3 linked regions of the Saccharomyces cerevisiae S288C genome follow. The gene in region 1 interacts genetically with each later gene. Each region holds a gene or a part of one and is shown on either strand. Other genes may lie near its edges.

Region 1 (3,359 bases):
AGCAGTGGTTTTGGTAGTGGCTTGGATTTGACCGTCACCAATTTGAGAGATAGCAGCGGCTCTCTTAGCCTTGGAGGAAGCAGTAGTGGCAATTGGTTCAACAGCAATACCGAAAGTAGAAGAGTAATCAGTTATACCACCCTTGTAAGTAGCTGATGGAGTTAAAGTGGACCACGGGTCCTTTGGAGCATAGGCAGCTAAAGATGTAGCAACTAAGGCGGAGGCAACTAATGATTTTTTGTATTGCATTTTCTAGAATATACTATTAGGGGAGTTTTGTAGTTTGTTTTTTTTTAATACCAGTGTATTAACTTTTGTTTTCTTGATGATATTATTCTTATACAGTAATAGAGAAGATAGGACAACTATGCATAAAGTAGTAAAGATCTTGCTCCTTTTTATATGTGAGAATTGTAGCATTACGATCTTCTTATTGAAAGAATAATTAGTATACCAGCGTTCTAATATTTGGGCAGGAGAGATTGACTGGACACAGTCTAAACCCTTTCAGATACATGGGCTAAATGATGGTCCATCGTATTATTAAAGCAAGTAATCGAGCTCCAAGAAGGATTTACGTCCGCCATCTCAATTTCTTTTATTAGCGTTGCTTCTATAATTGGCAGGACATAAAAAGGCTGCTAATAATAAATGATGATATAATTAAGAGCAAGCTGGCCGATCTCTCCATTTTTATGCGCTCCAAGCCACGTCATTTTCCGATGACAGGAATGCTTTGCATATTTCATATGAGATATACATTGACTCCTTTTCGACCAACCGTTTCATTAAAGGGGCAGCAGCTGTCAAAAAAGTAGCCGAAAAAGGCGTCTGGCTTCGAGGAATTATTACCTAAATAGGAAAGGCAGAATATATTAGAAAAAAAAGAAAAACCAAATGAGAAAAGTGCTGGTGCTAAATAAAACATTATTGAGGGGCCAAGAGGGGACAAAAGAAGATATAACTAGATCATTAAGTTTTCGCTCTAGTAACAGGAACAAAGATTGTGAGATACACTGTTATGCTAAGAGACGGTGCGATATTCTGTACGAAAATTATTTAACTATTAACTAAATGTATACCACTTCACGTGCCACCGAGTAGGTTTCTAAAATGTGCAACCATTTTAGGTATGTGCGCAGCTCTTTATTCTAAACGGGAGTCACTACATTACTATTATCGTGTTTTTGCCCATGTACTTTCTTATAATCTTAAGACAACAACGGGATGATAGGCGCATTCGGACTTTCATTGATGCAAATGTGTGAAAAATGCATCCAAAAGACAACTTTTGTACAGAATACAATTGCAAAAATACTTTACGGGCATAGATCGGTAAGGTCACCGGGAAGCTAGCGTAAGAGACCTTATTCGGAACCGAGCAACCATTTCCGAATGTAGTAGTAGTTGAAGGAGTAAATCGACCTTATTGTACACTACTTCCTTTAAATTTGATTTCTGGCCCCGCGCAATTTCTTGGCGGTTAAGCTGTATTTTTACCTCATCGGGAAAAGTTATTGCAAGTTAAAGGGGATCAAACGATTAGCAAACTAATTATAGATCAAAGGCCGAGGGCTTTCTAAATTTGGCATATTTCGCCGTCGACTGAAATAGAAGGGATAAATCATGCATCTCCAGGATTATCCCTACTCCATTCATTACAACATGCGCCAAATCAAGCCTATATAAGATTCTCGTCATTTAGCATGCTCTATTGATTTGTGTCTTGTTTTGTCTAACACTGAAACTGTAACCTAAGATTTCTTTAGATAATTATTACATTTACATCAATAAGAAATCTCATAAAACAAGTACTGTTTATAAGTAAAAATGCAATATAAAAAGCCATTAGTCGTCTCCGCTTTAGCTGCTACATCTTTAGCTGCCTATGCTCCAAAGGACCCGTGGTCCACTTTAACTCCATCAGCTACTTACAAGGGTGGTATAACAGATTACTCTTCGAGTTTCGGTATTGCTATTGAAGCCGTGGCTACCAGTGCTTCCTCCGTCGCCTCATCTAAAGCAAAGAGAGCCGCCTCTCAGATAGGTGATGGTCAAGTACAGGCTGCCACTACTACTGCTGCTGTTTCTAAGAAATCCACCGCTGCTGCTGTTTCTCAAATAACTGACGGTCAAGTTCAAGCTGCTAAGTCTACTGCCGCTGCTGTTTCCCAAATAACTGACGGTCAAGTTCAAGCTGCTAAGTCTACTGCCGCTGCCGTTTCTCAAATAACTGACGGTCAAGTTCAAGCTGCTAAGTCTACTGCCGCTGCCGTTTCTCAAATAACTGATGGTCAAGTTCAAGCTGCCAAGTCTACTGCTGCCGCTGCCTCTCAGATTTCTGACGGCCAAGTTCAGGCCACTACCTCTACTAAGGCTGCTGCATCCCAAATTACAGATGGGCAGATACAAGCATCTAAAACTACCAGTGGCGCTAGTCAAGTAAGTGATGGCCAAGTCCAGGCTACTGCTGAAGTGAAAGACGCTAACGATCCAGTCGATGTTGTTTCCTGTAATAACAATAGTACCTTGTCAATGAGTTTAAGCAAGGGTATCTTAACCGATAGGAAGGGTAGAATTGGCTCTATCGTTGCCAACAGACAGTTCCAATTCGATGGTCCTCCACCACAAGCTGGTGCTATCTATGCTGCTGGTTGGTCCATCACCCCAGAAGGTAACTTAGCTCTTGGTGACCAGGATACTTTTTACCAATGTTTGTCTGGTGACTTCTATAACTTGTATGATAAGCACATTGGTTCTCAGTGCCATGAAGTTTATTTGCAAGCTATAGATTTAATTGACTGTTGAACGATGCATCGATCAATCGGAGTCGTCCTCCTTTAACTTCACGAATTAGTTGCCACTCTCATTCCCCACACATAAACTTGTTTTATGGCATCCTTTTCATTTAGCATGTCTTTATTTCCAAACCTTTCCTCGTTCTTTGCATTCATTTAGCGTTTGCTCGAGAAAGCATCACGTTTTCACACATTATCGTTCGTCGCTATAATAAAAATAGTTATAGAATTTACTCAGATTTACATGTCGTACCTTTTTAATTGTAAAAAAAAAAATTTTATGATACATAATTACCTAAATATAATTCAGAATCAAACATACTTATAGCTATTTGTATGCTATTAGGTGGTCCTGCTATAAAAATATCGTTTATAATACTTTATATTTTATCTTTCAACTTAGTCGCAATTGCAGAAGCTTTCCCTGAGAAAAAATTTGTGAAGCTAGCTGCGATAGCAAAGGAGCGCTTAAGGTATAGAAAAGCACTCAGCTGGAATGCCAAAAGATAGTTTAGCAACTGACCAAGGAAAAAGCTTGTAGGTAGACTTAACTTCATTGTT
Region 2 (2,568 bases), on another chromosome or scaffold:
TCTTGTCATTTTTTCCTTATCTCCATCCTTTAAGGAAGCTATTTCCATTATGCGATTCTATAAATCCGAGCATGCGAGTATTTCTTTTCTTGGCGCGGAGTCGCTGATGACGCAATAGGCACATTCATGAACATCCAGGACTGGTAATCTTCTCGTCTTAAAAAAAATCCAACCACCAGTAAAGAAACTCTTGGGTAAAATGCAGTATCTGAAATATTGCATAGCTGCAAATGAAGATATTCAGTATCAGCATAGGTATTTTCATGAAGGATAGGTAAAAAGAAAGAAAAGAAAAATATCTTTTTGACTGTCATTCTTGCAATTATCACAATTAGGGGACTTTAAAACCGATACTTGATATATGAGCACAGTCAAGGGGCCGGTTCTTGAGATTTTAATGGAAAACAAGAAAGTTGCACATACAGGTCTGCTTTTCTTTGCTTGCTCCAGACAACGATACTTAGAACTAAAACATATTTCTAGAACACTTTTCTCCTTCATTCAAAAAGAAAACTGGCCTTGCAATGACTCCAAAAAGAGCGCTAATATCTCTTACTTCATACCACGGTCCCTTCTATAAAGATGGTGCGAAAACAGGCGTTTTTGTAGTTGAGATTTTGCGGTCGTTCGATACTTTCGAAAAGCATGGTTTCGAAGTGGACTTCGTTTCTGAGACTGGTGGATTTGGCTGGGATGAACATTACTTGCCAAAGAGCTTTATTGGTGGCGAAGATAAGATGAACTTTGAAACGAAAAATTCCGCCTTCAATAAGGCGTTAGCGAGGATCAAGACCGCAAATGAAGTCAACGCCAGCGACTATAAAATATTCTTTGCATCTGCTGGACATGGTGCTCTATTTGACTATCCCAAAGCTAAAAATCTGCAAGATATTGCATCCAAGATATATGCCAATGGGGGTGTGATCGCCGCCATCTGTCATGGACCGCTCCTTTTCGATGGATTAATAGATATCAAAACAACAAGACCATTAATCGAAGGCAAAGCTATAACAGGTTTCCCACTCGAGGGTGAAATCGCCCTGGGAGTTGACGACATCTTGAGGAGCAGAAAATTGACAACGGTTGAACGCGTTGCAAACAAGAATAGAGCCAAGTACTTGGCGCCAATTCATCCCTGGGATGACTACTCTATTACCGATGGAAAGCTAGTTACGGGTGTTAACGCAAATTCTTCCTATTCGACCACAATTAGAGCTATAAACGCATTATATAGCTGAAACAAAAGACAAGGGAATTGTTGAAGGGGAGGCTTCTAATGGCCTTCAGTTTCTGTGAAGAGAAGGCTAACAGCTCAATGGTTCGAAAGGTAAAGAAAACGGCAGATCGGTAGCACTCGATTTTGCTAGAATGGAAATCATATAGAGAACAATTGAATAGTAGGCCTTGGTTTTTAGTGTTGTACTCATCATGGTCATATGTGACATAGGTAATGTACATATATATAAAAAAAAAAAAAAAAAAAGCAATGCTGTGAGATCATTCGTTACTTACGAAATACGCAGATTGCAATTTGAAATAAGCTGTGTTTCCTTTTTTCTTTTTTTTTTTTGGCTTGTTATATACAACTTTTTTCTATTTCTGTTCTTTTAGGAGTAATTAATTGGTACATGGGAAATAAATATGAATTATATTAAATGAAGTAAAAGTAAAAGAAAACGGGGAAATTTATCGTTTCGTAGTAAATAGATGATGGACTTGGGCGACAAAATAAATCCTAACCTCTCGTTCTTAGGAATCAACTGCGTCAGCTTCAACCAATCACCCGACATTCTTGAGTCTCTACATCAAGCACTGCCAAATATGGCCTTGCTTGCTTATCCAAACAGTGGTGAAGTTTATGATACTGAAAAGAAGATATGGTTGCCAAATAGCGATAAGCTGAACAGTTGGGATACGGTTGTTAAACAGTACATTAGCAGCGGTGCCCGTATCATTGGTGGTTGTTGCAGAACAAGTCCAAAAGACATCCAAGAGATTTCTGCAGCCGTCAAGAAATACACGTAAATGCCTTTTTAAAGAAACTGGAAAATTCTTAACATTATACATATGCTAGGAAGCAGCATGTTACACTAAATACATTTTATAAACAGCACAAGAAGTATTGTTAATTAATTATCCTTGCCATGTTTTTTTAGAGTCACAAATGCTTTTCCGTACTTCGCCGACAAAAAACAGAGTAAACATCATATGTTTTATAATCTAAAGGAATCAACTAACAGTTCATCAGATGGGAATTTGGGAGAGTGCACAAGTAAGATGGGGTAAAAGAAGATAAATCTCCACCGGATCTAAACCTTTGCCAATAATCCTCACATGGTGGAGCTACAATCTCGCCTTCTCCGACCAGTCACGATTAATTAAATTGCCTAAAATTAACTTTTATATTCCCATACAGTCGATATTGCTAGCTCAAAAGGCGTTATATTCGAAAGTTGTATCCAAATATTCCATCTAATGTATTATTGGCAAAAGGATTCCGTGATCTGTGTTCCCAAGAACAATCATAACCTTGAAAAATTATTCGCCAATCATTACATGCGGCAAACT
Region 3 (2,952 bases), on another chromosome or scaffold:
ATTGCTCCTTCGCCAATATCTTCAAATGATGGTAAACTTCCGAACCCATCCTCATGGCTTCTGCAAAGCTCTGAGCCCCGACTGGCGCGATCTTGAATTCTTGCATAGCTAAAGAGCCACCGGCGTGGGCTCCACCATTCAAAACATTGAAAAAAGGAACAGGAATAACAAAGGGGTCCTGTCTAGCATCCGCTAACTCGGCTATATACTTGTAGAGAGTAATTCCCTTTTGTGCGGCAGCAGCTCGAGCAACGCACAAGGAAACACCAAGGATAGCATTGGCGCCCAACCTTGACTTGTTAGAAGTTCCGTCTAACGATATCATGAGCTCGTCTATGCCCTTCTGATTGGTTACACATAATTCGGACTTGATTAAAGCAGGCCCTATGATACTATTGACGTTACTGACTGCCTTGGTCACCCCTTTTCCCATCCATTCGGACTTGTTCCCGTCTCTAAGTTCAACAGCTTCGTGAATGCCGGTGGAGGCACCAGATGGGACGATCGCTCTGAAGAGACCATTCTCTGTTGTAATTTCAACCTCAACAGTCGGATTGCCGCGAGAATCATACACCGTTCTAGCATGTACCTTCGTGATGGACATATTTTTATCGTTGAGATTCGATTTTTTCCTCACCTTGTTTTGGTATTTCTATTGCAAGACAAAGTGAAAGAAGAAGAAGTGGTGGTAAAAAATAACTATATATAATGAAAATTGTAACCTGGTGGGAGTGCAAACTGTAAGTGATAACCTGCCAGATCCATGTTTCTATTATATACCTAAGAACCAGCCAAGTTAGGTAAACGAGGAGTCTTTCAATATCTCTTTTCTAGTGAGAATGTTATTTAGGTAAATGAACAAGTTACCACTATACTACTCACCCCCTACACTTTGTTTGTGACCTCTCCCCTTATCCAGTTCATCGAAACTTTTTTTTCAACTTGTGGCGATCTGTGACATTGTCTACTACAAGAACCGATTTTGGTTGATGTCTGTAAAAAAAACAACCTTACCTTTCCAGATCCAACTTTCCAGGAGAGCTGCGTGAGTTTCAAATATTTACCATGTCGGAGAAAGCTCCCAAGTACTTCCTTGTTCTTGTCATTTTTTCCTTATCTCCATCCTTTAAGGAAGGTATTTCCATTATGCGATTCTATAAATCCGAGCATGCGAGTATTTCTTTTCTTGGCGCGGAGTCGCTGATGACGCAATAGGCACATTCACGAACATCCAGGACTGGTAATCTTCTCGTCTTAAAGAAAATCCAACCACCAGTAAGAAACTCTTGGGTAAAATGGGGTATCTGAAATATTGCATAGCTGCAAATGAAGATATTCAGTATCAGCATAGGTATTTTCATGAAGGATAGGTAAAAAGAAAGAAAAGAAAAATATCTTTTTGACTGTTGTTCTTGCAATTATCACAATTAGGGGACTTTAAAACCGATACTTGATATATGAGCACAGTCAAGGGGCCGGTTCTTGAGATTTTAATGGAAAAGAGGAAAGTTGCACATACAGGTCTGCTTTTCTTTGCTTGCTCCAGACAACGATACTTAGAACTAAAACATATTTCTAGAACACTTTTCTCCTTCATTCAAAAAGAAAACTGGCCTTGCAATGACTCCAAAAAGAGCGCTAATATCTCTTACTTCATACCACGGTCCCTTCTATAAAGATGGTGCGAAAACAGGCGTTTTTGTAGTTGAGATTTTGCGGTCGTTCGATACTTTCGAAAAGCATGGTTTCGAAGTGGACTTCGTTTCTGAGACTGGTGGATTTGGCTGGGATGAACATTACTTGCCAAAGAGCTTTATTGGTGGCGAAGATAAGATGAACTTTGAAACGAAAAATTCCGCCTTCAATAAGGCGTTAGCGAGGATCAAGACCGCAAATGAAGTCAACGCCAGCGACTATAAAATATTCTTTGCATCTGCTGGACATGGTGCTCTATTTGACTATCCCAAAGCTAAAAATCTGCAAGATATTGCATCCAAGATATATGCCAATGGGGGTGTGATCGCTGCCATCTGTCATGGACCGCTCCTTTTCGATGGATTAATAGATATCAAAACAACAAGACCATTAATCGAAGGCAAAGCTATAACAGGTTTCCCACTCGAGGGTGAAATCGCCCTGGGAGTTGACGACATCTTGAGGAGCAGAAAATTGACAACGGTTGAACGCGTTGCAAACAAGAATGGAGCCAAGTACTTGGCGCCAATCCATCCCTGGGATGACTACTCTATTACAGATGGAAAGCTAGTTACGGGTGTTAACGCAAATTCTTCCTATTCGACCACAATTAGAGCTATAAACGCATTATATAGCTGAAACAAAAGACAAGGGAATTGTTGAAGGGGAGGCTTCTAATGGCTTTCAGTTTCTGTGAAGAGAAGGCTAACAGCTCAATGGTTCGAAAGGTAAAGAAAACGGCAGGTCGGTAGCACTCGATTTTGCTAGAATGGAAATCATATAGAGAACAATTGAATAGTAGGCCTTGGTTTTTAGTGTTGTACTCATCATGGTCATATGTGACATAGGTAATGTACATATATATATAAAAAAAAAAAAAGCAATGCTGTGAGATCATTCGTTACTTACGAAATACGCAGATTGCAATTTGAAATAAGCTGTGTTTTCTTTTTTTTCCTTTTTTTTTCTTTTTTTTGGCTTGTTATATACAACTTTTTTCTATTTCTGTTCTTTTTAGAAGTAATTAATTGGTACATAGGAAATAAATATGAATTATATTAAATGAAGTAAAAGTAAAAGAAAACGGGGAAATTTATCGTTTTGTAGTAAATAGATGATGGAACGCATTCATAAAATCTCACAAAATATTACAATAAACCGCAGTAGTCGGTAAAAATGTATTATACAACGTCTAAAATCTTGAAAATGAATTAAAAAAAAAAAAAGGTGGGATGATTGTGCAGGAAAAGGTATGAA

Evidence for each region.
Region 2: mutations in PIR3 (region 1) and YMR321C together harm fitness more than expected from each alone (negative genetic interaction), as found in Saccharomyces cerevisiae (one large-scale study listed by BioGRID).
Region 3: mutations in PIR3 (region 1) and HSP32 together harm fitness more than expected from each alone (negative genetic interaction), as found in Saccharomyces cerevisiae (one large-scale study listed by BioGRID).

The regions. Positions count from the first base shown.
Region 1 is NC_001143.9:142,571-145,929, forward strand, and holds PIR3 (beta-1,3-glucan linked protein), read left to right. Parts: upstream 1-1,830; coding exon 1,831-2,808; downstream 2,809-3,359. Other genes in the region: PIR1 (beta-1,3-glucan linked protein), read right to left, coding at 1-249. UniProt on the Saccharomyces cerevisiae protein: Component of the outer cell wall layer. Required for stability of the cell wall and for optimal growth. Required for resistance against several antifungal and cell wall-perturbing agents.
Region 2 is NC_001145.3:917,036-919,603, reverse strand, and holds YMR321C (uncharacterized protein), read left to right. Parts: upstream 1-1,707; coding exon 1,708-2,025; downstream 2,026-2,568. Other genes in the region: SNO4 (glutathione-independent methylglyoxalase family protein), read left to right, coding at 525-1,238; YMR320W (uncharacterized protein), read right to left, coding at 2,553-2,568.
Region 3 is NC_001148.4:10,267-13,218, forward strand, and holds HSP32 (glutathione-independent methylglyoxalase family protein), read left to right. Parts: upstream 1-1,620; coding exon 1,621-2,334; downstream 2,335-2,952. Other genes in the region: phosphopyruvate hydratase ERR2, read right to left, coding at 1-604. UniProt on the Saccharomyces cerevisiae protein: Catalyzes the conversion of methylglyoxal (MG) to D-lactate in a single glutathione (GSH)-independent step. May play a role in detoxifying endogenously produced glyoxals. Involved in protection against reactive oxygen species (ROS).